4 linked regions of the Stegostoma tigrinum genome follow. The protein of the gene in region 1 interacts with the protein of each later gene in a biochemical or structural test. Links are inferred from orthologs where the notes say so. Each region holds a gene or a part of one and is shown in the gene's direction. Other genes may lie near its edges.

What was found.
Region 2: the proteins of dlg3 (region 1) and gda form a complex in vitro, tested with the Homo sapiens proteins (2 studies listed by BioGRID and IntAct, with this or other methods). The link is inferred for Stegostoma tigrinum from reciprocal best matches to the Homo sapiens genes DLG3 and GDA.
Region 3: the proteins of dlg3 (region 1) and frmpd4 interact in a test that uses a peptide from one of them, tested with the Homo sapiens proteins (2 studies listed by IntAct, with this or other methods). The link is inferred for Stegostoma tigrinum from reciprocal best matches to the Homo sapiens genes DLG3 and FRMPD4.
Region 4: the proteins of dlg3 (region 1) and net1 interact in a test that uses a peptide from one of them, tested with the Homo sapiens proteins (2 studies listed by IntAct, with this or other methods). The link is inferred for Stegostoma tigrinum from reciprocal best matches to the Homo sapiens genes DLG3 and NET1.

Annotation. Positions count from the first base shown.
Region 1 is NC_081368.1:39,704,916-39,711,968, forward strand, and holds the start of dlg3 (disks large homolog 3), read left to right. Parts: upstream 1-4,029; 5' UTR 4,030-4,111; coding exon 4,112-4,190; intron 4,191-7,053. UniProt on the Homo sapiens protein: Required for learning most likely through its role in synaptic plasticity following NMDA receptor signaling.
Region 2 is NC_081356.1:29,512,473-29,519,329, forward strand, and holds the start of gda (guanine deaminase), read left to right. Parts: upstream 1-3,842; 5' UTR 3,843-3,926; coding exon 3,927-4,058; intron 4,059-6,857. UniProt on the Homo sapiens protein: Catalyzes the hydrolytic deamination of guanine, producing xanthine and ammonia.
Region 3 is NC_081365.1:63,272,092-63,279,592, forward strand, and holds the start of frmpd4 (FERM and PDZ domain-containing protein 4), read left to right. Parts: upstream 1-4,493; 5' UTR 4,494-4,999; coding exon 5,000-5,040; intron 5,041-7,501. UniProt on the Homo sapiens protein: Positive regulator of dendritic spine morphogenesis and density. Required for the maintenance of excitatory synaptic transmission. Binds phosphatidylinositol 4,5-bisphosphate.
Region 4 is NC_081378.1:11,121,458-11,128,452, forward strand, and holds the start of net1 (neuroepithelial cell-transforming gene 1 protein), read left to right. Parts: upstream 1-3,982; 5' UTR 3,983-4,030; coding exon 4,031-4,143; intron 4,144-6,995. UniProt on the Homo sapiens protein: Acts as a guanine nucleotide exchange factor (GEF) for RhoA GTPase. May be involved in activation of the SAPK/JNK pathway Stimulates genotoxic stress-induced RHOB activity in breast cancer cells leading to their cell death.

The DNA of each region.
Region 1 (7,053 bases):
AACTGAGTAGATTTGCAAAATAGAAGAATAACCCATCCTATGCTATAGAGTATGCAATGAATTTGCAGAGTTTGTTGACAACTGTAATGCATGTAGAACTCAAGTGGTTATTCCCAAAGATCTGTGGCAACATGTATTGCATATTGCCCATCTGAAAAGGTCACCTTGGTGATGTGAAAATGAAGGAACTACCTTGTGATCTGGTGGTTACAAACAGATTGCCATATAAAAGCATTTATTTTAAAATGTGTAGTTTGTATTCATTTTACTCTATCTGTTCAAACACGTTATGACACACATCAAAGGCAGTCAGGACTTGAGCCTACAATTTCTGACAGGCACCACTACAGTTGGAAGCTACATATGAAAGGGTACACCTGCGTTTGAGCCAGAGGCCTCATGATCTTCAGTTAAATATTGTACCACTGTTATTTTTAAATCAACCTGCTCAGGAATGTTATGATAAATATCTGAGGCAGGTGGGACTTGAACCTTCTAGTTCTGAAGTAGGGACATACTTTCTGTTAGTTTGCCACAATTTTACATGTAGAATTATGTCCCACACCTCTACAACTGAATGCAGGCCCAACAGAAACTTGACAATGACTCAGAGTAGATACTTTCAGCAAAGTGCTAGCAGCCACTAGTATTCCAAGATTTTTGCTTGTGATTCATGATCAATATAGCAATTGCCAGGAAACTGCTGTAACAAATTTGATAATAACTAATGACTGAAGTGATTTTTCTGGACAAATTGTTTACGAAATGGGGTTTGCTACAGTCCATCACAACAGACAATGGCCCATAGTTTATTTACAGTTTAGTGAGTTCCAACAAGCCACAAAGTTCACCACAATTGAATGGTGGCATCAGGTATTCAACAGAGTGATCGAGGACATTGAGAGTCATAATGTCAAGAGAGGAGAACATTTGACCAATCCATTTATGTTCTGTTCACACAGCGATCTACACCACACTGAGTGAAAAGACACTGCTGAACTTAGAACTGCTCATAACTTTTGCATTCCATTGACAACTCCAAAATCATAAACGTTATCCAGCAGGAATTTCAGGGCAAAAGCAGGAAAAAAAATTACAAAGTAATAAAGTAAAGCAAAAGCATACTTTGACAAGCAAGCTGGGAATGATTATTTGAAATTAGAGATTGACTTTGCATCAAATGGTGAAATCACAATTGCAAACTTGCATCATCTCTGTCATATCCAAAACACATCACATAGTTGTTTGGTACTGACACTTGTGGGTGACAACAAAAAATAGAACGAAACATTCTGATTGCAGACTAGAACACTTCAAGGTCAGTGGCTATGACATCATTTCTTTTTACAATGAGCAACTGTGACATTCAAGACAATAAGGACTGCAGATGCTGGAAGCCAGAGTGTATAGGTGTGAGCTGGAAAAGCGCAGCAGGTCAGACAGCATCAGAAGAGCAGGAAAGTCAACATTTCCGGTTGAAACATTTTGGTAGTGAATTTCACAGATTCAACATCGTATCAGAGAAACAATTCTGCCCTGTCGGTTTAAATCTGCTGCTACTTATCTTAAAACCATGGCCTCTTGTTCTGGATTGCTCCTCAAGAGGAGTCTATTTTGTCAATCCCTTTAATATCTTATAAACCTCAATTAGATTTCTCATTCTCCAAAACAATGAACCGTTTAGGTCTAAACCGCTCAATCTCTCTTCATAAGTCAAATCCCTCATCTCTGGAATCAATCTGTGAAATTCCTCTGAACTACTTCCAATATAACTGTATCCTTCCTCAAGTGAGGGGACCAAAAATGTGTACAATACTTAGATGCAATTTCACTAATGCCTTGACCAATTGCAGCAACATTTACACTTTATTCCTTCAGCAATAAATACCAAAATTCCACTTGCCTTTCCTATTATCTGCTGTACCCACAATTTAGTTTTCTGTGATTTATGCAGGAGGGTGCCTAGATCTCTCTGTACTGAAGCACTCTGAAGTTTCTCTCCATTTTGATAAATTGTCTTTCTATGCTGCTGACTGTAATCTCTTACTTATCCATGTTAAACACAATCTGCCAGATTTTGGCCAATTTACTTAACCTATTCATTTTCTTTTTAATTTCACTGTTGCAACTTACTTTACCAATTATTTTAGTGTTATCTGCAAATTCGGCTATCGAACCTTCCATCCCTGCATCCAAGGCATAAACATAGATTGTTAATCGTTACAGCCCGAGGACCAAACACCAAGGTTCCTGCTAGTTACATCTTGCCAACCAGAAAAAGCCCCATTTATCCCAAATTTTTGCTTCCTGTTGGAAAGCAAACCCTCTATCCAAACTGATAAATTACCCTAACTCCATCTGATTCCAAATGTCTTGTTATTACTTCCTTAATAATGGATTCTAACAATTTCCCATTAACTGATGTTAAACTAATTGGTATATAGTTTCCTACTGTTTACCACCCTCCCTTTTTTTAATACGGGTGTTATATAAGCATTTTTTCCCCCAATGCACTGGAAGCTTTCTAGCATTCAGGGAATTTTGGATTCTTAGTGACAATATCTCAAAAGTCACCTTCATATCTTAAAGGTTATTGCTATGCACAGTGAAAGTGGCCAAGGTGAATCTAAAAGAATGACGTACACTTTTTTCCTTAGGGTGGTTTAATTTGATATAGGACTTTAGTTTAACAAATGGGAGAAGCAATAATGTTCCATTTTTCTACTTTAATTATATATCTATTGATTTATTTCTGTACTGTGACTGATTAGTTAAGCTTGGATGTGGTGACTGGAGATTAAAAAAATGACTAAAATGAGTCAAGTTGCTGTCAGCATCTCAGCAGACATTTTCAATCATTGAATGAAACATCTGTTACACACATACAAACCAGTGTATCATTTCTAAATATCTCTGAGGAATAAACCGAACACATGAATGCAGCAGATTGGTGGAATCATTTTGGAATTACTCTTCAAGTATTCTAGGTGGGAGCACAAACATGCAAAGGCAAATTAATAGACTGATTGATTAAGACAAACTTTGGCAGAGGTAGCTTAATCTGAGGATGTCTGAGACCATCTGCATGGGATTTTTGAAAATTCACTGTGTCTTTCTTAACATTGAAAGCCTACAAACTGTGAAGAAACAGGATACATGTGTAAAATCTCCAAATAGTACTGAACAGGCACAAAAATCTAATATATAATCTCATCTTTGAACTCAGGGATGTTGGAGTTCAAAATTGAAGAATTTATCACACAGAATCTTAGTCAAACAGCAACTGGGAGCCCAGCATTATGTTTAATTTTGGACACTTGAAAGTTCAGAAACTATATATTGTTCTTTGAAGGGTGTACCATACACACTCAGCAGGAAGATTACAGGGCGTAAAGAGTTAAAAAAATGAAGACCAGTTGCATAAGCTGGCATTGAATTCTAAGTTTAAAAATCAAGTGGTTATAAAATTGAAACATTTAAAGCCTGCATGCATAACAAAATATTTTCCCTTAGTGGGAAATCAAGAATAAATAGGCAAAGTGTTAAAACATAGGATTTTCAGGAGTGAAATTAGGAAACACTTTGCCATTTAAAGGGTTATGAGATATTAGCTTTTCTCTCATATGTTCTCCGTGTACGTGTTAATACTATTCCTCATCTTTCTATCTGGGCCTCTTGTCTGTTTAACTCCCCTGACTATTTATCTCCGTTCTTTTTCACTTTTTAATCTCTCTTTCTTGCTCCGTTTCTCACTTTATCGCCATCTCAGTCTCTTTCAAATCCGTCAATTTACTGTTTTTTCTACCTGTCAGCATGTTTTTCTCTTACTTTTCCCAATTCCTTTGTCTTCCTGCGCCCTGTCTTGATCTTCTTTCATTCACACAACACTTCTCTCTGATTCTCTGTCTGAATGCACGGAATTTGCCAGATGGCAGTCTGAGTCCGGTTCTGTTTTTGCTGGAATGTCTTGAATGGAGCAGTCGCGGGTTTGCCAACGGAATTAAATCTGAACAGCACAGCAGCAGCAGCGCCATTGGGAGCAGGAAGGAGACGATAGCAAAGCGCCGAATGAAAATTCTCACAAATCCTGTCGATTGCAAAGTACCGCTCGATGAATGCAGTCACTCCTTGGTATAATGGGGTAGGAGTGTGGAGATTTAAAGGAAACTCAACAATGGTTCACAGAGAAGGTGCAGTGTAGCATCTTTATAAAATACAGTACTTGATGTTTATTTTCTCTTGGACTCTCCCTGCCACGTGTGTTTTGTTAGTTTGCACGAAATGTACAACTCGGCGTGAGTAACCGTTTGTTTTAACACTTTTTAACCAATGAGAACAAAATCGGACTCTTCACTCGTCAAATCTCTAATCTTAGCGTCCTGATTTTTGAGGCTAATTAATACACAAGGTCAACCATCTGTGAATATTGACGGAGGTTGCTAGTTACCATGATTGTGCTTGGCATTTTTAAATCTGTTTGCAAGTTAGACACGAGCGGACATAACTTGTTTGATACTTGGGTGTAAGATTTCTGATAATTTTCTCCCAGCTGTTAACATACGGAAAGGCAGAGCAACAACTCGCGAGTAGAAGTTTGGGAATATTTTTATTGTGTGCAAATTTTTTTTTGTTTCTCACATGCATTTAATATTTATTGTTGAAAGCCCACGTGCTCCACAGATTATGTTTCTCCGTTGTGGAGAATACATTTTGAGTAAACTAGCAAGATTAAGTTTGGCCTGGACACATGATAAATTGTTGTTAACACAGCTGAAGGGAGAAACAAATTATGTTTTATTGATGTTTTGCCTTTTTATAGATAGGCTAATCTCACTTGAAGTATGGTTGTTGACTAATTAACTTGGATTGGGTTTTACAGCTCAGGCTGCGTATATAATCGATCCATAAAGCTTGTGTGTTTTAATAGAAAATGTAATTATAGTAGTATAAATCAGGACAGCGTAATGCTATGATTCCAGTGCAATGAATTTCCATGTTGGCCTTTAAACTAGGACAGGTGCTAAACAAAAACTAAGAGTTTAGTTTCCTCACACGCTCCCCCCCCCCTCCCCAGCCCTCAGCGTAGTATCTTTCCAACCCAATCCTTCCTATGTGCTACTTTTATGTATTATTTTATGTCCCGTTTATAATATTTTATTGGTCAAGGGGTTACATTTGCCTTTGAGTGATAATCTACTAGAATCCATAACATGGGTTGATATTACCTTCCTTTAATGAAAGGTGAGGTAATCGTGAACACTCGACAAAGAATATTAAAATTAATGCGATTCCCGATTCGTACGAAATTATTTGAAGAAAGATGATTTGTTTGACTTTTTTCAAGTGATTTCTGCCAAAAATTAATGTAAATGGAATTAAGGTGGTCATTGGCAAGAATAGAGAGCTGGTGGACAACAAATAACGAGTCGGGAGAAAAGGAAGTTTCTCAGACTGAAAAAATTGTTGTTGATGGAGTTCCTTTGGAACTCTGTTGAAGAGTTAGAGCTGACTCCTTACAGTGTGGAAACAGACGCTTCAGCCCAAGTCCGCACCAACTCTTCAGCATCCCCCTGTAACCCACATAATCTACACATCCCTGAGCACTATAGTATAGCCACTCAACCTAACCTGCACATCTTTGGACTGTGGAAGGAATCCGGTGCACCCGGAGGAAACCCACGCAGACACGGGGAGACAATGTGCAAACTCCACACAGACAGTCACCCAAGGGTGGAACCAAACCCAGGTCGCTGCTGCTGTGAGGCTGCAGTGTTAGTCACTGTGCCACTACTTCCATTCGATAAAATAACGAATGATAGACACATTGAAATTTGACAAATCTACCAAATTGGGAGATTTTGCAAATTGTAATAAGGATTGTGAAAGATAGTAGAGACACAATTAGCTATCAGATGGGCAGATATACAACAGATGCAATTTAGTGTATCAGACACTATGTAGTTTTGAAATAAGAATGGAGAAATAGGCATGTGGACCAAGTCAGCCTTTTATGGAGTTGTAGAGTACTGCAGCATGGAGATAGGCCCTTTGACCCTAACTGGTCTATGCTGACCAAAATGTCCATCCAAACTAACCCCATTTCCCTACACTTGGTCCATATCATTCCAAACCTTTTCTATCCACATCTAAATGCCTTCTAAATGTTGTTAATGCACCTGCCTCAGCCACTTCTGCTGGCAGCCTATTCCATATGCGTACCACCCTCTGTGTAAAAGAGTTGCCCCTCAGGTTTCCATGTATTCTTTCCTCTCTCACCTTAAACTGATGCCCTCTGGTCCTTGATTCCCCAATCCTGGGAAAAGGACTGAGTGTGTTCACCCTATCCATGCCTCTCGTGATCTTATGCACTCCTATAGATCCCCCTTCAGTCTCCTCCACTGTGAAGAAAAATGTCCTAGCTTGTCCAACCTCTCCCGATAACTCAGTCCCTTGAATCCTGGAAACATCCTTGTAAATTTCTTCTGCACTCTTTCCAGTTTAATAACATCATTCTTATAGCAAGGAGACCAAAACTAAACAGAATACTCCAAGTGTGGCCTCACCGATGTCCTATAGAACTGCAACATAACTTCTTAACTGTATACTCAGTGCCTTGACTGATGAAGGCCATTGTGCCAAAAGCCATCTTACTGCCCTGTCTACCTGTGACTCCACTTTCTGAGTTCTGAGGAAGGGTCACCAGACCAGAAACGTTAACTCTGTTTTCTTCTCCACAGATGCTGCCAGACCTGCTGAGCTTTCCCAGCAACTTTGTTTTTGTTCCTACTGTATGGAACCTTATCAAAGGCCTTACTGACATCCATATAGACTACATCTACTGCCCTCCCCTCATCAATCTTCCTGGTCACTTCATCAAAGAGCTCTAACAATTTGTGAAGCATGATCTCCCACACACAAAGCTGTGCTGACTACTCTTAATCAAACACTGTCTTTCCAAATGCAACAACCATCTTCTGAACACCTTCAGAGGATTACGTATGTCAGTGCACTATGTCCTTCTTCCATACCCAGCTAGGAATGAAAAATTGGTGT
Region 2 (6,857 bases), on another chromosome or scaffold:
TAGATGACATGTCCATCATGGGCCTCCTGCAGTGCCACAATGATGCCACCCGAAAGTTGCAGGAACAGCAACTCATATTCCGCCTGGGAACCCTGCAGCCTAATGGTATCAATGTCGACTTCACTAGCTTCAAAATCTCCCCTTCCCCCACCACATCCCTAAACCAGCCCGGTTCGTCCCCTCCCCCCACTGCACCACACAACCAGCCCAGCTCTTCCCCTCCACCCACTGCATCCCAAAACCAGTCCAACCTGTCTCTGCCTCCCTAACCTGTTCTTCCTCTCACCCATCCCTTCCTCCCACCCCAAGCCGCACCCCCATCTCCTACCTACTAACCTCATCCCACCTCCTTGACCTGTCCGTCTTCCCTGGACTGACCTATCCCCTCCCTACCTCCCCACCTATACTCTCTCCACCTATCTTCTTTTCTCTCCATCTTCAGTCCGCCTCCCCCTCTCTTCCTGTTTATTCCAGAACCCTCACCCCATCCCCCTCTCTGATGAAGGGTCTAGGCCCGAAACGTCAGCTTTTGTGCTCCTGAGATGCCGCTTGGCCTGCTGTGTTCATCCAGCCTCACATTTTATTATCAGGGAAAATTAGTACTCCACTTTGCAAATACGGACGTGGAGATTCTGGTGAATGGGAGGGTACAGGGGAATGCCATCTTCTTTCTCCTCCAGGATCAGACTAGAAGGCACAACACCAGTCCCTGCCACTCAGAGGTTGCCATGCAGGTCAGTACTATCTCTGTAATGCCCAGCAGTGTAACAGGAAGATTAATTACCATATCTGCTCTGCCATGGTAGGTCTGCCACTGTCTTCTCTCTGACAAATCACACTCACTCCAAATCTGCTACTGCACCTATCTCCACCAGTCTCATGGTCTACCACTCTCAATCTTGCATAAAACATTTTATCTCAGTCACTGCACAACACCCCTCCCCGCCAACGACCCTCAACAGCACCAGTAACCAACCAAACAACTAACAGCGCACAGCCAGTGTGCCCCTACTCACTCACTTGAGACACCCATATTTCTAGCAGCAACAGCTGTGCCACACACTTTCATCTCACTCAATTCCTCCCTTTGTCTTGTTCCAGGATAATAAGACTCATAATAGGGCAGACAGAGCTAAGGCAGTGGTGGGATGCCCATCATTTGGCTCCATAAGCCTACAAATAGAGGATGCTAGCGCTTGCTAGTGAGGACTGGAATCATACCTGTGGTGATGCTGAAAACATCATATCCTGGAGTTTGCATTGCTGTGCTGCTATCCTATTAACACCATGGTGAATGTGTCTGAACATGTCCAAACTTGTTCACGACACATTCTCACTTTCGACTCCTTCAGGTATAGGTGATATCAGCATGGTCTCGGTGCTCAACACCACAGCCCTTTAAGACATCCCCTCCACTCCCTCTGAGGTAGAACACATGGGTGCCTCAGAGGATGAACTGTCAAGGCTGCCATATGCACCCTCCACCAGCTCAGACACTGACACATTGGTGAGTATTTTAACTAGAACAGGGATTATCTACCTGTGAGTAGACCACCGCCACTTTGCCATAGCTGGTTGGGGGAAAAGGCATCCCAGGTTGCTGGCACTTAGAAGATTGCTGGAGAGCAAGTATTTGCTCAGCTGCAAGCAGGAGAGGAACCCATGGTGTCAGCACTTACAAACTTCATAAAAATGCGCAAGTAGACATAGGAGCAGCAAATAGGTTTGTTGGAAGTACTGGAGGGATTGACACAAAGGTTGCATGACTGCACTAATGCTGTTAGGATCCTGCTGCGTCTGGTATATGAGCGCCTGGCTGACAGCTGCCAGATCCAGCAGTCTCAGAATTTGATGGATACACACACAGGCCTTCACTTCCATCTTTCCGCTATTGTTGCTAGGCGACAGGGAACTTTGGTCTCACTCAGTTTTTCCTTCCTAGTCAGCATGTAAATGGAGAAAGAACCACATAGAGACTCTCTAGAGGCCTCCTCTTAGGACACACCAGTCAGGGGACCAGGCCTTACACTTCTACATCACCTGCCACAATCCCCCAAGGCATGGAGGAGTTTAAGTTGATTAGGGTGAACGTCTCTCTGATCACGACACTCACAGCGTATCTGGACCTTGAGATGCTAATGTTCGATGGGGTCACCAAAGCAAAACTCCAAGATCAACAGGCCGCACTGTCGGTCAGGTTCTCTCTACCCCAACTACAGAACCCGGGACTGAGTTGTACTGGGAGAGAAGGAAAGAAGAAACCTTCTCTGGACACACACCCCCGAACACTATGGGCAATTTTAGCATAGCCAATCCACCTAGCCTGCACACCTTTGGACTGTGGGAGGAAACCAGAGCACCTGGAGGAAACCCACGCAGATACAGGGAGAATGTGCAAACTCCACACAGACAGTCACCCAAGGTTGGAATTGAACCTGGGCCCCTGGTGCTGTGAGGCTGAATTTCTCAGGCTCACCACTCCTTGGATGAAGAAATGTCTCCTCATCTCCGTCCTAAATAGACTACCCTGAATAGGTTTCGTTTGGAAATTTGAATTGTCCAGTATTACCATTAGCTGGATTCATAACAAGGTAAACACAGAGAAATGAAAATAATGCATGTAATGCAATACACGCCCCGACCACTCTCTGAGTAAAGAACCTACCTCTGACGTCTCCCCTATATCTACCTCCGCTCACTTTAAAAACTATGCCCCCTCGTAATAGCTACCTCCACCACTCAGAAAAGTCTCTGGTTGTCCACTCTATCCACACCTCTGATCATTTTGTACACCTCTATCAAGTCACCTCTCATCCTTTGTTGCTCTAAAGAGAAAAGCCCTAACTCTCTCAACCTTTCCTTGTAAGACATTCCCTCCATTCCAGGCAACATCCTGGTAAATCTCCTCTGCACCTTTTCCAACACTTTAACAGGGTGTATGCTGAGCTGGTGTGATTCAGCTATGAAAAGACACTAAATATGCTTGGCATTGTTTTCCCTGCAGCAGAGGGCGCTGAAAGGAGTTAGGTGTACAAAGTTTTGAGGGGCGTAGCCAGGTTAGGTAGGTACAGGTTTCCCTCTCGTAAAAGGATCAGTAACCAGGGATCATGCGAACTGCAGATGCTGGAGAATTCCAAGATAATAAAATGTGAGGCTGGATGAACACAGCAGGCCAAGCAGCATCTCAGGAGCACAAAAGCTGACGTTTCGGGCCTAGACCCTTCACTCTCTGATGAAGGGTCTAGGCCCGAAACGTCAGCTTTTGTGCTCCTGAGATGCTACTTGGCCTGCTGTGTTCATCCAGCTTCACACTTTGTTATCTCAGTAACCAGGGAGCAGCTTTAAGGTAAGGAGTGGGAGGTTTCAAAGGCATGTGAAGAAAGATGTTTCCACCAGAGGGCTGTATCTGGAGCTCACGACCTATAAAGGATGGTAGAGATGTGAACCCTCAAGACATTTAAGAACTATTTAACTGACGACTTGAAATACCACAACATTCAAGGTTGAGGGCCAAGTGTGGTAAATGGGATTAGAATAGATGGACGATTAATGACCTGCTCAGCTACGATGGGCCAAAGGGTCTCCTTTAATGTTCTTCGATTCTGTGTGCATGTGGGATTAGATGCCCCACGAGTTGTAATTGTTGGGGACTGAAATATGTCCTTTTTAAACTACAGTGTGAGATGGACACCAGCAACGACATTATTATTCGTTTGTTTTCTTTTTACCTTCGATTGCTTTAGACCTTTTTGTTCTGATGGCTCTAGAGCAAACCCAGCCGACGCGTAGTTGTTTCTCAAAAGGAAGGTATACGCCCACTATTCGATATGCGCGCCCAAAGCTTCAATTTAAGAGAATGAAGTGGTGTGTATTGGTACTCTCCACAGCTTTCTCAGCGCTGCAGAGGAAGGCTGTCACTCCACAACATGACAACCGAAACTCCCCGTCCGCAAGGCGAAAGCCTCCAAGTTTTCAAGGGGACCTTTATCCATGCCACTGACACTTCCCCAATGGAAACTCTAGCCCCTCGTATCCTGGGAGTAAACGGGATGGGAAAGGTGAGAACTCGTGTTTCAAATTTCCCGTTTATAATACTGCCAAATCGGTTGTTAAATTGGAATGTTCTTCAGGGGTCCGCCGAACGGTGCTGCATGATTTGAGTTTTTTTTATATATAAAAATGGTTACATGCAGAAGTAGCAGTTTTCTGTCCCTGATCCAAATGTCATAGTCAGCTGGCTACTTGTCACCCGGGCGGTGCGGGGGCTCACTGGTTAGCGCTGCTGCCTCACAGCGCTAGGGACCTGGGTTCGATTCCAGCCTCGGGCGACCGAGGTTTGCACTTTCTCTGTGTGGGTTTCCTCCCGCAGATTGTCCATAATGTGTAAGATGCCCGTGAGGAAACAAAAACAGGAAATTAATAGAAAAGTTCAGAACGTCTGCCAACATCAGCGGAGAGGAAATCAGGAGTAACGTCTCAGATCATGGGGAAACGCCAGGCAAACGGGTAGGGGGAGATGGGATGCTCTTCAGAGGGTTGACGTGGGCTTGATGGGCCAAATGGCCTACTGTTACACCACAGGGACTCATCTTGTCACTTGTAAGGTTTAACAACCCAATTTGTGTGCAAATCTTTAATTTTATATTTACATGTCAGAACACAATACAAGTTCCTCAATTAACTCGAACCCAAGGTTCCAACACATATGCAAACTGTAAATAAAACAAAGAATCGTGGATGCTGGAAATCTGAAATAAAAACAGAAATTGCTGGAGAAATTAGATTTGCGGCAGAAATGGGTGGAGAGAAAGCAGATACTGATGTTCTCCAGCAATTTTTGTTTTTGTTTATAATTTAGGGAATTGTATTTGTACAGGTTCCGTGAGACAAATTCTAGTCGTGGTATAATCTCGGTATGAGAATTTATACTCTCTAATAAATACCAAGTGTGGCTATACAGTTGTTAGCTTTAGTTTTCTCTCTTTGATTGAGAATCCAGAGTCCATAGTTCATTACACGTAAAACATAAAAATATGCAGATACTAAACCGGTTCTGTACAGTCTTTACTTTCCCCCGTCTTCTGGTTTCAATTATTTTATTATTCTAAAAACCATGGGAAAGTAGTTTGGCAAATAAAATGCCATGAACTAGGCACATTGTCAAATCTCTTACCATATCTCCTCAGTTAGGACCAGTTAGTGGAGAAACATAGAACTATACAGTGCAGAAGAAGGGCATTTTGCTCATCATGCCTGGCCAGCCCTTTAGTAAAGCTGTCTAACTATTTCCACTTCCTCTGCTCTGTCTGAATGACCATTGCAAACGTTTCGACTTCAAATATTTATTCAACTTGCCGTTGGAAATTATTACTGAATCTGGTCCAACTGCCCTTTCAGGCAGCACATTCTGGGTCACAACAGCGTACTGTGAATTTTTTTTTTGTTTTCTTTGCGTTACAATGGTTCGTTTATCTACCATATTAAATCTGCGTCCGCTTTGATAATTGACTCTTCTGCCACATGAAACATTTATTCTGTATTTACTGTAACGATTTAAACATCTCTGTTAAAAAACCTGTTTGCCTGATCTAGTTGAAACAGGATAAGACGTAATTTTGGAATGACTCACCCAAGTTGAATTTGGCAAACTCGTTCACCATAGTCTACTCAGCGGAATAGGTGGAAATAAAAGGAACAAAAAGAAGTTCCACATCATCAAAGCATGTTATTTCCAGGCGTAATCATTTACTGCTCTTGGCAAATGAAACAGAAACCAATTCCCTATTTCACATAAGTTACTGTCATATATATTAACAAGTTTTACACCTATTATTTATAGAAGTATTATGATTGTGAAATGGATATTGTAGATATAACTGATTAAGCAGCAACATATAAAAGGCTTGTGCTGAGATTTAAGAGGTGATGGAATTTGGAATCAAAATTATGAATTGCACTGATCTACAGAGATATGTGGGATCTATTTGAGTAGAGGTTGCTTGGTAGAACAGAACTTGAATGTTGTTGAAAAATGAGAGATGGTTTTATTGCAAAAGTACACTTTACTCATAAAGATAATTTTTTAACGTACATACACAGATTCTAAAGATGTTCTCTACGGCCTTTGCATAAAAAGAAAATAAAACAAATATTGAAATCTGGTATTCCCTGCAGTTGCAGAAACCAAAGGCGTTTCCTACTCATGCATGGCACTACTTATATTCATCTTGGGGCAAACAGAGGATCCAATAATTGAGCAGGCTCCTGTGCTGTACTGTTCTATGTTCTGTCTTTCTCCAGGCCTTCTTTAAAAAGGCACATTGCAGAAGGAGAGAGTGACAGCCTGTCCTAACCCCACTAACAGCTGCTTTAAGGGCAGTGTGCAGTGGAGCACAGAGACTGGGTATGCAAAAAGGATCTGATGGGCAGTGCCCTTCCCACCACCGGCTAAGCGATATCTTGGTGCTCATTGGAAAATTCTGATGATGAGGAATTCTGTGAAATGACTTTTGACAGTCTGCTCAGGGAACCATGCAACAGGATCCTTTTCTTGAGTGCACTACTTGTTGATCACTTCCTAATGGACTTGTGGTCTAAGGTGTTTTTCTTTGCAGATTTTTCCATGAAGGACAGGTGATATAGAACAGCCCAACTACTTGGAGCATTCTGTGGTGCCAAGGCCAGTCCCATCTCTTGCAAAACTGGGGAGAGGTAAAGCAGTGACACTTGCTGCTGCGTTTGGAGGGTCTACGCACAGCTTGATGCAGCCACACACAAATGTGGCCATCAGGATGAGGGCAGCATTGGGTATGTCTTTCTCCCCTTTATCCAGAGGTTTGTACATTTGTAACCCTGTG
Region 3 (7,501 bases), on another chromosome or scaffold:
CCTTGATCACAAATACAATAGGTGACCAAGAGCACCAAGCCTCTGCATTTGGCACCAATGTCGCTCTACGTGTGTGGGCCTCAATAACAATGATCATGAAGCCATTGGTGATTGTGATTAGTGGCCAGATGAGTTTTCAATGACTGCCATTAGAAGGAAATCAGCTGTTCTTGTCCAATCTGGCTGCATGTGTCTCCAGATTCCCAGCAGTTTTTCAGATTCCCAAAAGCCCTCTGAAATGGCCTAGTAACTCGCTCAGTTGTAATGTATCACCACAAAGTCAAAATGAATAAAACAAAGTGAGACCACCAAACATTGACAAAGGCATTGTAAATGAGAGTAACAAATCCACCTCAGGCTTGTGCCAAGTTCAACAGAGCATTACCACAATTGACTTAAAGCAACAATCTGAGATGTGCATTGAATCACTGACAATCGTTGAAATACCAAGCCCCAGACTCAACCACAGCCAAATCTGTGTATGTTCTGAACTAGTGTCAGCAAGTAGCCAAACACCATGAATCTCACAGCATCAAGTCAAATATGGGCAAGGTAACATCCTGCTGATAACCACTGACTAACCCCTGTCAGCTGGTGAACCAGTACTTTTTCATGTTGAATACAATTTGGAAAGAAGCACTGAGACTGGGCATGCTCCAGAATGTACTCTGCTTGTGGCTTTAAGAGGTGTGTTTTGTCCTGGTTTCTTTTAGACAGAAGTTGCAGGAATAGGTGTTAAGCAGTCAGTGGCGTTAAACAATTTGTGAAGCGTTGGGTGTTCTCCAAAAGTTGGAACAATAGAAGTACACGCCGTCGAGACATACATGCCCAGGATTTTGCAGGTTTTGCTTTATTTAGTAGGTGTGAACTGAAATTGTGGAAGGAAAAGACGTCTCTCTCTGGGGCGCTGCTGCATGTAGCTCTTTCTTGCTGATAGGATTGAATGTGAGACAATCTGTCTTCTGAATTTGCATTTTGTTAAGGGTGTGTTTATGGGGTATTACTATAATGGAACAGGTAATTATTAATAGTTACTGTATCTACTGTTCTGTTAAATTTTCTAGGAGAGTTGTTGATCCAATTCGTCCTCTCTCGTGTATTTTTACTATAGTGCATGAATAAAGGGTGTTCTATTTTAAATCTGGTGGTTTAACCAATCAAATTGCATCTGGAATGAACACCTTACATTTACCTTTAAAATAAGAAAAAGCTAGGGTCTTAACTACCTTCTGAATAGTTAGAAGGAGGTTTTGGTCTGATCCTTAACTTAGTGGCTCCACTATTGACTAGGCTTTGAGTTCTGAAGGTCATAGAAGCTAGACTGCATTTACAGCAAGTGGTAGGTGAATTAACAAGGAGAAAGAAAAATCCTACCTGGCCTCATTAACATGGCTAAAACTGTTTCAGATGCATGGGCCATTGATAGAATTGGTATGACGCCCATCATGCAATCTGTCTGGGCATAAAGCCCATCTTCACATTTTGGATACTCTTCATTGTGTTGTGCCATGCTAACTGGGACAGACTTTCAACAGATCTTGACAGTTCAAAGCAGTACATCTGTGAAACGTGATGAGCCATCAGCAGAGTTCAATCACAATTCCATGGCCCAGCATATTCCTTAATCTACTGTTACCATCAAATTGAGGATTAACTCTGGTTCAAAAAAGACTGATTGAGGCCTTGTCAGAAATAGCACCAGGCATACCTGAAAACAAAGTATAAACCTGGTGGGAATCTGAAACAGAATTACTTATTTGCCAATGAACAGAAGCAGACGTAAGTCATCCAAATGGTCAGATTTAAAATTTGCAGTTCTCCCACAACTAGGTGTGAACAGGGATGGGCAATTTTCTAAGTAACAGAGGATAAGGCTCTACTCCTCAACTGTGGAACAAGGCTGAAGAACTTTGCATCTACCTTCAGCCAGAAGAGCAATGTGGATGATTCATGATGAATGGACTAATGTATCAAATTGGTCCCAATAAAATTACAAAGTGTGTGTATTCACCACACAACTTGAGAGAAACTGGAAGCAGACTTCCAGGTGAGTTTTAATATGTGGTTGCCCAAACATCAGTTGATCCAAAAATAACTGGCCATAGTTAATGATCCAGAGTAATTCTATCTGTTGTAAATTGGCAGCAATCTCAGGTTAAAGCACAGACATGTTCAGTGGCAGGCACGGTTGTTTACACATGTAAAAAAATCCTGGCAGAGGTCCTGCATCAGTAGTGCAGCGGCTAATTGATGAATTCTTAATGTAACCCACACAATAAGGACTAACATAGGAAGGTCAATGAAAAATCAGGAAGCCAGGCATGTTCACTGAAAATTACTCCCATTAATTTTTCCAGTTTTGACAGTCTGGCCTCCAATCCTGGAGGAATGTGCATTGACATTAATTGGTCACTGACTGATTCATTTCAGGAGCAAAAATAAAAGGTTGAGTTTCTGACTATACAGGGAGTTGTACAGTGGAGGGAAAGGAACCTAGCTTTCCCATGTGGGTTAATTCTGGTCTCTGTAATGTATTTTCTCGGAGAACTGCAACTCCATTTCTATCCCAAACTTCGTCTAACTGGAGAATGATATGTAATCCCAAGTGGTGTTCCTGTGATTGGAGGAATATTGTACTTGTGGAATATAAATGCTCATAGGAATTAATATAGTAGCTTTGTAGAAGATCAGACGCTTGCAGAATTGGCTGCGATCCTGGCTGAAAATGGTCGGGTCAGCCATAATCTCACTGAATAATGAAACAGACTCAATGGGTCTATTGCCTGCTTCTGCATCTAATGGCCTTATTAAACCAGAGAGTTTATATAAATGGACCTTTGACCCATCAGTAGAATATGATCAGTATAGTCCCACAAGTGTTTGTGCTGGGCCCTCAACTTTTTAAAACCTGTATCAATGATGGGAGCAATGGCATAGTAGCTAAATACAAAGATCACCATATGATAGTTGGGAAGTATGTTGTGAAGAAGACGTGAGGTTGTGGTTGGATATAGGTAGGATGAGTAAGTGTACAAAAATCTGGTGATGCAGTATAATGAGGGCAAATATTAAGTTCATTTTGGCAAGAACAGTTAAAATATAAACAATTAAATGGAGAATGATTGCAGAATTCCAAGGCTCAGAGGAACTTGGGTGTTCTTGTGTATGAGTCAATGGTATGTGGGAACAGCATGCAGTCAAGAAGGCTGATGCTATCCTTTGTTATGAGAGGAATTGAACGTAATAGTGAGGATGTTGTGCTTTAGTTGCACAGGGTATTGGTGACGTGCAGTATTGCTAACCTTAATTAGGCAGGGAAGCAACTGCATTGGAGGCAGTTCAGGGAAAAATTATTAGCTTGAATGATGGAATGAGTGGATTGAGAATAGGTTGGGCAGTGACTGGACTTGTTTCTATTGGAGTTTGAAAGAGTGAGGGGTGATATGAATGAAGTGTATAGAATCCCGAATGGTGTAGACAAGTGGCCAATGGAAAGAATGTGACCTTTTGTGAGGCAGTTTTAAAATTGGGGGCACCCTTTTTGGATAAGGCTGCGGAGAGATTCCTTTTCTCTCAGGGTTGTGTGGCTTTGGAATTCTTGGCATCTGAGGAGAATGGAGGTGGGCTTGTTGAATAAAATCAAGGTGGAGGTAGACAGATTCTTGTTAGTCAAGGGAATCAAAATTTATCAGGGAATGTAAAATTTGAAAAAAAAACATGGATCAGCCATGATCTTATTGGATAGAAGTTAGCTGGAGGGGCTCATATTGGCTCCTTTTCTTTGTTCATCACACACTTACGATCTTGCAGACATTTGGCATCCTTTAATTGCAGCAACATATTTAATATACATTGAGATGGTATGCCAGTCTTTGAGAATTCTGAGGTATCTTAAATCCTCTGTTTGTGAGATAACAACTTTTAGAAACTTAGAACAGGTGTCAGCCCGGGTAATGAAGAAAACAAAACTTTTGACAGTGACTGGTCATTTCAACCAAGTTTTTAAAATGAAGAAAGGATTTGAATTTAGCAATGTTTAATATAAAACAATTGTAAGCTGCTTCTGTTTAACGTAAATAAAGATTTGAACCTTCCGGTGCACTGTGTACCCTTTTGTATGAAGTTACCTTGAGAATTAGTTTTATAGAAAGATAACTAGGTTTCTGTCTAGGCAAGATTGATGTTTAATTAAATCTTTATCACCGTGTTTTCTTTAACTATCCTTTTGTTGCAATGTTTCGTTATTTTTCTCGGAACTCATGAATCTGTCAATTAAATTGTAAAGGTCAAATTGCCATTGTGTACTCGCAGAGAAATATTCTGACTTGTGCTCACCAAGCAGCAGGATCTATTCATATGCAGTTTCCACAACAACTCTCGAGGGTTAAGTGTAGTGGGAAATATGTAGTTTTGCAGACGGGAAACAGTCGCTGAAGTGAGGGAAGAACTTAAGCGAGCATCATGTTCCCGTGCATTTTAACAGGCGAGAGCCTGTACAGGTCGGAGTCAGAATGATAGCGCACCTGTCTAAAGCGAGCTGTTTTCCTTTCGAGCACTAGGTTTTATTTTGCTTCTTCTGCGGCGTTTGCCTCCCCCTACACCCCTTCCCCCTCCAAAAAAAAGATTTTGCTTTAATTTGTCATCAAGTGTTGGCTGTGATTGGAGCAAACCCGAGAGGAGACAAGCAAGCAGCAGGAGTGATTTTGCGTGCATCCTCGGAGTTGCTGCCTGCCTCGGAGACTCCCACTCCCAGTGGCTTGCCATTTGACTGAGGGGCTAAGAGGGGTCAGTGGGAGCATGCCAATTGGTGGCGGGGGAATGTGAGCACTGAACGCCGGATCTCTCAGGGAGAGCCAATGTTACCTCAAGCCGGAGTGGATGGACCCGTGAATCTCGGAGCAGGAGGAAAGGGAAGCCGTTCCTCTCCATGTAGCCCCAGTCGATTTGAATAAGGATACATTATGGAGCTGGAGTGAGGACACAAGAGCTTTCTGCATGCATGGATGTGTTTAGCTTTGTGAAGATCGCAAAGCTGTCAAGGTAAGCGTGCCTCATACATCCTCTGAATATTGTCCACTGCTCATTAGCGACTGCAAGCTCCCCGTCCCGTGGAATCCGCTCGATTGGATGTACAGCCACAACAGGGACAGCCGTGAAGACACGATGCATCATTTTTAGGAGCAGCAGCATTTTTACTCCCTATGACTAACGCTGTCTTAGTGTAATGGTTACAGGCAGATAGGTTGTCGAGCTTCGGGGATAATAGAGATGCAGTGAAAAGGGTGTGTAAGTGGGAAAAGAATTATAGCTTGGTGGAAAATTGGAGAATGATTTCATTACATTTTACTAGTGGCCAATTTCGATCTTTAGAAGTCTTGAAGCCGGTGTTTGATGGCTTATTAACAGTAACACTTCGATGTCTTCCCAACTGTGGGAGAATATTGAATCTTTTTTTTCCAGTGTGCTGAATATTACGTGGGGGGTGGGGGGGGGGGGGGAACAGAACGATAAATCAACTGTCCTTTATCGCTGATGCCCTGGTCGAAAAAAAGTTGAATTCATTTTTAGCGTCGCCAAAGCTACTTGTTTGATATGCTCCGGTGTTGAATAATGCTCAGATGGTCGTATTTGTGTCTGATGGGTACATGAGCAAATGTCAGTTTTAATTCGGCTGATGTTTCTGAGTCTGGCATTTATTTTGATGTAAACCAGCAGATATTCCTGACACTTTAATTGTTGGGTGCGAGGGAGTTTGGGCTCGCATTAAGCAATGGCACTGTGTGTCTGTGGATAATTCTCATTACCCCTCCTCTCTCAACAACATACAAACATTCTCTCCGCTGGTGTACACCCTACAAACAGGCACTCGTTTTAAAGAAATGTCACTGCACGCGCCTTTGCTGGATGATCTTTAGTTTACTGTTAATTATAATCTGTCAGAAATTCTTCAGGTTTGATCACGCAAATGAGAAGATACCTTCCAACGCCAGCTTTTCCCCTGCATTTCGATGTAATGGGTTTCACTGTAGGGATCAACTTTGTCTCTCAAATTATATTAAGTGACTTCGTAAAACGGCAAATTCACAACTTATGGATATTTTAAAATAACAATGAAAAATACACGTTGCATGGTATTTCTTAGGCAGGAAGGATATGAAAAATAAATCGACTAATCAAGTTTTCAGTTATTGTGAATCATTTGAATCTGCTTTGGAATTCTCTGAGCACTGAACATATGCAATTCTATGGAAAATCTCTGTCTGCAACTTTCCAACACTTAAGTTCCTGAAGTAGAATTAAACAAATGTGAAGTACAGTTTACTCACTGGGCACATGAAGACCTGGGTATTATCAGTATTTGTTACTATTGGGATCTGTCCACCAGTCTGCAGAACATATGGTTCATGACCAAAATATTGTTTTGTATTGCAATACATGAAAGAATAGAAAAATATTTGCTTGTTTGTACAAAGAAACCTCGATGGATTCCTGGAAGGAAGGAAATACATTTACATCGAGATTTTAAAAAAGCCCTCACAAATCCTGAAGATTTGAAATATGTGATTAAGGAAAGCAATAAATGTTGCAAAATAACAGATTGTTGGCTTAGAATCTACATGAGACAAGATAGGTTTGTGTTTCTGATAAGGCCTTTCAACATGACATGAAAGTTAATCAGTCTTCCTTCAATGCTGATTAATTTCCCATGTGCTTTCAAAATTTGCTCTTTTGTTATCTAACTGAGAATATAGTGAAGTCTTAAGTTCTTGCTGTCACCTTGAAACTGCTTACTGATAGAATCAGTTGTAAATGATTATACACCATAAACTTGATTGGGTGGTGTTATTCAGTTTTGAGGTCTAATAACAGTCGCTATGCGCTCCATGCTTTCAGAGCTGAGGCATTCGTATTGACTGAGAAACCGTTACGACACTAAGTTTGTCAAAAATCAATACCTGAAAAATTTAATAACTTTGTATGTTTTAGAAAATCTGCGTTCTGCTGTACAGTTCTGCATTAAGAAAATAATCCTTCAAATTAATAGAATTCACAGAAGAATTGCAAAGGAAATGGCAGTATCAATTTTCCAAATTGGTTGCAATTTATACCAAATAGCTTTACCCAAAGACAGTTACGGGCACTATTTTTCAGTGGTGATCTTCACAATTGTATGTCATTTTAGTGCACTGGGACATATGCAAACAACACACCTGTGGCAGAAATAGCAAATGTCATACGAGTGAAACGTAAAGCATGTGGTGGTCAATAAGAAACCTTGGATTGGGAAATGACAACACCTCTGGCTTTAGGAAAGCATTTCAATCTGTCCACAGATCTTGAAAGGGAAGAGATGAAAAACGTGAAGGCTCTGGAAATCCAACGTGCAATCTCGAGACTGCAGCCATTTCATAATACAGTCCAACTCTTTTCCCAGTTTTTATGATTGCTCATGTTCAGGTGATGCTGCATGAGTGCAAGGAGGGTGGTTCTGTTCCTATAT
Region 4 (6,995 bases), on another chromosome or scaffold:
TTCTGTTCTCCAAACAGAGTTCACAGCAAAAGAATGGGTACATGCTCTCTCCCTGATTGAGTTAGTTAATAATGTATTAATGACTCGGAGGGAGGGAAGTGAAGATACTGAACCAAATTTACAGATAGACAACACTAAAAATAGATATAAAGGCAGGTTGTGAGAAGCATACAAATAGTTCACAGAGACAGGCTGATAGGTTAAGTGGGCAAAAAGTTAGCAAATAGACTGTAGTGTGGAAAAATCTAAAGTTGTTCTTTTTGGAAGGAAAACTAAAACAAAATTGGACAAAAAATTGCAGAAAGGTGCAACACAAAGGAATCGGGGATACTTGTGCATGGAACAGAGAAAGCTAACACAGATGCAGCAATTAATCAGGAATGCTAATTGAATATTGATCCCTATTTCAAGGTGTTGGAATAGATGAGTCAGAAATCTTACTGCAATTGTACAAGGTATAGTGAGACCACAACTCAAGTGCTGTGTGCAGTTTTGGTCCCCTCAATTGAGGGAAGATATTACTTCATGGAAGGCAATTCAGACAAGGTTCACTAGAAAGATCCCTGCTTTGGAGGGACTAAGATCATAAGACAGCAGAAATTGGGCCATTTAGCCTATCATGTCTGCTCTGCTATTCAATCAGGTTTCACAACCCCATTCTCCTGCTTCCCCCCCCCCCCCCCAAAAAAATTACACATTCTTGATGCTAAGGGTTATCTGTCTTAAATGTACTCAATTGTCTGATGAGCAAAGGCTAAAGAGGTTAGGACTCACTGGAGTTTAGAAGAACAAGCAGTGGTGATCTCGTCGAGACATACAGGATTCTTCAGAAGCCTGACAGGGTAAGTGCTGAGGGGGATGTGGAGCCTCATGAGAGTCTAGGGCCAGAGGCACAGACTCAGAATAAGAGGGGCACCAATTTACAACTGAGATGAGGAAGAATTTCCTCTCAGATGTTTGAGTGTCTTTGGAATTCTTTGCCAAAAGAGAGCTCTGGGACCAGTGTCCTTGTGTACATTTTAAGGCTGAGGTAGATAGGTACTTGATCAGTAGAAGAATCAAGGACTATGGAGAGAGGGCAGAGCAGGAAAGTGGATGTGAGGAATGTCAGATCAGCCATGATCTTGTTGAATGGTGCAGCAGTCTTGAGGGGCTAAATGGTCTACTCCTGTTCCTATTTCTTATGGATTTACGAACTGATCTCAACTCTTTCCTGCCATTTTCTCAATGCTGGATTCCCTTATTGATGAAAAATCTCTCTCAGCCTTGAATAGACTTTACCCAGAATGCTGCAGTGACTGGTTAAGAATTCCTCAAATGAAATTCCTCATCTGTCTTTAACAGGCAATCCTTCACTTGGAGATTAAGCCCTCTGATACTAGTCTTTTCCACAAGGGAAGCATCTTCCTGCATCTACCCCAATAAGCCTCCAAAAAAAATCTCATCTGTTTCAATATTCTCATTCTACTAAATACCAATAAATTCAAGCCCAAACTACTCAACCTCTCTGCATAAGAAAATCCCTCCATAAACTAACCTAATGAATCTTTTCTGGTCTGCCTCAAATGTCATTATATCTTTGCTTAAATCATGGGCCCAAAGATGTTCACAGTATTCTACTTGTGGTCTGACTTGTATCTTTCATAGATGAATCAAAACCTCTTAAATAAACCTATTCCCTTTGAAGTAAAGGCTAATTATGCATTTGAAATTCCTGCTACCCACTGAATTTGAATGCTAGCTTTTTAGTAGTGAGGATCCCAAATCCTTGAGCAGCAGTTTCCTGCAATCTTGCCATTTTAGATAATATTCAGCTATTCTAATCTCCCCACTAAAGTGCATAACCTTACAGATGGAATATAATGTGAAAAAATAAGAATTTTTCCCCCCCACTGTCTAAATCTCTCCACACACAGTACATCATCCTTGTATTTTCTGAAAACTGATATTCCATTCACTTCCTTTCCCCAAGCCAGTGTTGTTGTAAATTGTGGCCCCAGCACTCATTCTTGTGGCATCCCATTAGTTACAGGTTGCAATCTTGAAAAATGATGGCTTTATCCTAACTCTATTCAATTAGCTAGCCAATCCTTTATCCATGCTAATAGAATTATCCCTTGCACCACTAGCTCTTAGGCACCATCTTATTGAAAGCCATTTAGAAATCAAAATATATAACACTTCCTCTAACTTATTAGAGCAAAGAATTCTAACAAATTTGTCAGGCATGATTTCCTGTTTATGAAGCTAACTCTGCTTAATTGTATTATGCATTTCTAAGTGGTCTTGCTTTAGATCCTTAATGATAGATTCAGATTGCTTCCCAATTACATTAAGCTAAGGCTTATTATTTGTATTCATCTCCTTTTTTTGGGTAAGGGTGTTGGATTGGCAGTTCTTCAGTCCTCTGAAAACTTTCCAGAATTCTTGGAAGACTACTACCATTCCAGCTACTTCCTTTAATACTCTAGGATTCAACTCAGATCCAAAAGCCCAATTAGTTCAAGTTACATTTCTTCCCTTTTTTACCCTCTTAGAATCTTCAACATGAAGACTGATTTAAAGTACAGTTGGTCCCCAATTTACAAACATCTGACATCATGATCACCTGTACATATGAATGCAATCCTATACATGGTTGTAATTTTAATGATCCAACATATGAACATTTTCTGTATTTACAAATACCTACTTTATATTATCCTGCATTATGTTCCAACATGCATAAAGATTAATTTGGAAGTGGATTCAAGAATGGAACCCATTGCAACCTGATTACCTCTTGGAATTTTTCAAGATTTTTGCCATTTCCTAGTTTCCCCTCACCTCATTATCTAAATGGCCTATGGCATGTTCACTTTGACCTCATGCTTCCTTTTGAAATATTTAAATAAGGTCTTACTCCTAATTTTTGTATTACTTGCTAGTTTGTGTTCACTTCTTCTTCCCCCCCCCCCCCCACTGTCCTTTGGTGGCTTTTAAAACTTGTCCAATTCTCTGGGCTACCATTAACTGTCACATTGTAGGTCCTCAGCTTGGTACTAACCTTGACTTCCTTGATTAAACATAGTCAGGTTTACTCCCATCATACAGATATACAGTCCAGAAACACATCAAGTCCAACTCGTCCATGCTGGCCAGATGGCCAATATAAATCTAGACCTATTTGCCAGCATCTGGTTCGTACCCCCTTAAGCGTTTCCTATTCATATACCCATCCAGATACCTTTTAAGTGTTGTAAACCTACCAGCCTCCACCACCTCCTCTGGCAGCTCATTCCACACAGGCACCACCGTCTGAGAGAGCGTGTTGCCCCTTAAGTCCTTTTTATATCTTTCCCCTCTCACCTTAAAACGTTTTTGAAGAAGGGTTCCAACGCGAAACGTTGACTTTTCCTGCTCCTCGGATGCTGTCTGACCTACTGTGCTTTTCCAGCTCTGCATTTTTGACCCCATCATATCTGCGTCCACCAACACCCCAGACCGCGTGTTCCAGACTCCTACCACTCAAAAATAACTTGCCCCTCACATCTCCTTTAAATTTCCTTCCCACACCTTAAATGTATAAAACATAATTGTAATACGTATAAAAAAAGTGAACTCGAACTGATCTACAGAAATATACAAAATAAGTGAACCTAACAATATCGTGTAGAACATGGTTACATATAAAATAATGCGAATTTAAGACGTTTTGCTACTTATGAAGTTTAGCTTCGGGGAAACATTTCGTTTGCACAGAGAATTTAATAGATTGATGTATCCTTGCCTTCACTGATGAGCGTATTCTCACCGCGATTGAGGCTTCACATTGGTTACGGAGGCGGAAGGCCCCGGCGACGAGGCGGGCGCTGATTGGCGCATTCCAGCGGCGGCAGTTTCAAACGCAAGGGGGCGGTTAGAGGCCCAAGTCCGGAGAGACCGGGGATCGGGGAGCGATCGTGGGGGAGGGGAGTGACAGGGGTATTTAGAAGAGACCCGAGGGATCAGTGAGGCCCAGGGCCGGTGACAGCAGTCCCACACCGGCACCATGAGTCAGGCACAGCCGCTAACGAAAGAGAACAGGCGGCCCCCCTTCAGGAGGAAATCCTCAGTGGCATCCAGCAGCCGCAGCTCCCCAGAGCCAGCGGACAGCAGCAGACGGTGAGTGAATGGAAGCCGGTGGTGGGGAGTCTGGAGTTGAGCTTGCACCCGTCCTTCACCAATTCCCTCTCCCTTTCAATGTTGTTCCGTTAACACTAATCTTCACATATAGTTATACCTTAATTGAATAACAAGCAGAAACAATTAAGTAAACTCGTCAGTTTGGTCATGCTTTTGCTTAATACATGTTTGAAAATTTCTCTGAACTCGTGTGCTTTGGTACTTAATAGCATGCAACAAAAGTCATAGAGCTGTACACGGTAGGCAAATAGGAAGCTGGAAGCAGGCAACGTTTCGGGTATTACCCTTGTCAGGACTAAGTAAAATCGCAAACCGAAAGGTAGCTTAAGAGATCATATTTAGTTTAGTTTTGATTTTAACAAGGTGATCTCTGACTGAAACAGAAACACATAGAATCACAGATTTGAACAGTATGAAAACAGATGCTTTGGTCTAACCTATGCTGACCAGATATCCCAAACATATCCAGTTCTATTTCCCTCTAAACCCTTCCTATTCATGTACCCAGCCAGGGCCTTTTCAATGTTGTAATTGTACCAGCATCCACCACTTCCTCTGGCAGCTCATTTCATACATGCACCACCCTCTGAATGAAGATGTTGCCTCTTCGATCCTTTTTAAATCTTTTCCCCTCTCTCCTTAAACCTATGTCCTCTAGCTTTCAACCCCCTCACCCTGAGAAAAGATCTTTACTATACCTCCCAAATCCCTGCCCCTCATGATTTTATAAACCCCTATAAGGTCACTCCCTCAGCCTCTGATGCTACAGGGAAAATAGCCCCCGTCTATTTAGCCTCTCGCTATAGCTCAAACCCTTCAGCCCTTGTAACATCCATGTAAAACTTTTCTTAACCCTTCCTAGTTTCACAATACCCTTCCTATTGTAGGGAGACCAGAATTGCATGCAGTATTATAATAGTGGCCTAATCAATGTCCTGTACAGGCACTACATGACCTCCCAACTCCAAAATTCAATGCACTGACTAATAAAGGTAAGCGTACTAAATGCCTTCTTCATTATCCTATCGACCTATGACTTCACTTTCAAGGAACTATGAACCTGTACTCCGAGGTTTCTTTGTTCAGCCAAAATCCCCAAGATCTTACCATTAAAGGTTTAAGTCCTGCCTTGCTTTGCCTTTCCGCATTGCAACACCTCACATTTACCTACATCTGCCACTCATTGACCCATTGGCCCATCTGGTCAAGATCCCGTTGTACTCTGAGGCGATCTTCTCCATTGTCAACTACACCTTCAATTTTGATGTCATCTGCAAATTTACTAACTATACTTCCTAAGCTCACATTCAAATGAAAAGCAGTGGAAAATCTAAAGCAAATTCTTGATATAAGCTTTACATTAACATAGCTCAATTATTTTTGATTTTACACTTTTATTATTTCAAAGTCTTCTACCTTTTGAATTTTTTATTTAGTTTCTTTTGATGTTTTTCAAGTTAATTGGACAACATTTATTTTTGGAAAGTGTTTTCTTCTTACTTGAGTATGTCACGACATGGGAGCTTAGCTATTTAAGTAAATGTTTCTCAGTCAGCTTTGCATCGAAGCTGAAGTTGCTTGTCTGCATGACACTATTGATTTTACTGACATTGATTTTTGTGTGGGGATTCGATTTAATTGTAATGCATATAGGATGTACTTTGATATTCTAGAATTGATGTTCTTGGAAACATTGGCATACGTCTTCCAAGTTATTCCTGATTCCATGTCAACATTTTCTGGATTGTTTGTACCACATTGCTATTGTCTATGCCAAAACTGAATTGTTAGTTACCCACTTTCCATGCTATCCATATACTCCCATAAAATTATCAATAGTGATTGTGAGTTCCCTGCTGTTACCACGTAAGCTGGAAAATCATGTCTATAATGATGGGACAGCCATCTGATTTCATCAGAAATAATTTGTATTTATATGGTGACTTTAATGTCAGGAAACAACCAAAAATACTTTGAAGCAGCATCATGAATAAAAATTTGACATCAAGCCACAGAAGGAGATATTAGGCCAGATAGAATCATAGAGCTGTACAGCACAGAAACTGACCCTTTGGTCCAACTTGTCTCTGCCAACCAGATATTCTAAATTAATCTAGCCCCATTTGCCAGTATTTTGCCCATTATTCCTTAAAACACTTCCTATTTATACACCCATCCAGATGTCTTTTAAATGTTATAATTGTACCATGCTCCAACGCCACATCCTCTGGCAGCTCATTTCAACACGTGCCATTCTCTGCATGAAACCATTGTCCCTTAGGCCCCCTCTCACCTTAAACCTATGTTCTCTAATTTTGGACTCCCCTACTCTGGAGCAAAGGGTACCCTTGGCTCTTCACCCTATTCATACCTCTCATGTTTTTATAAACCTCAATAAGGTCACCCCTCGGCCTCCAATGTTCCGGGGAAAATACCTGTAGCCTATTCAGCCTCTCCATATAGCTCAAGCCCTCCAACCCTGGTGACATCCTTGTAAAGCTTTTCTGAACCTTTTCAAATTTTACAACATCTTTCCTACAGCAGGGAGACCAGAATTGAATGCGGTATTCCGATTGTAGATGATCCATTATCCTGACCAGCTGCAACATGACCTTCCAACTCCTGAACTCAATGCAATAACGAATTGAATGCCGTATTACAAAGGTAGCCGAACCAATATCCTGACCAGCTGCAACATGACCTCCCAACTCCTACACTTAATGAACTGACCATAAAGGCAAGAGTACTAAACTATCCTGTCTATCTGTGACTCTAGCTTCAAGGAACTGAGTCTACACCCCGAGCTCTCATTGTTTGGCCACACCCCCTAG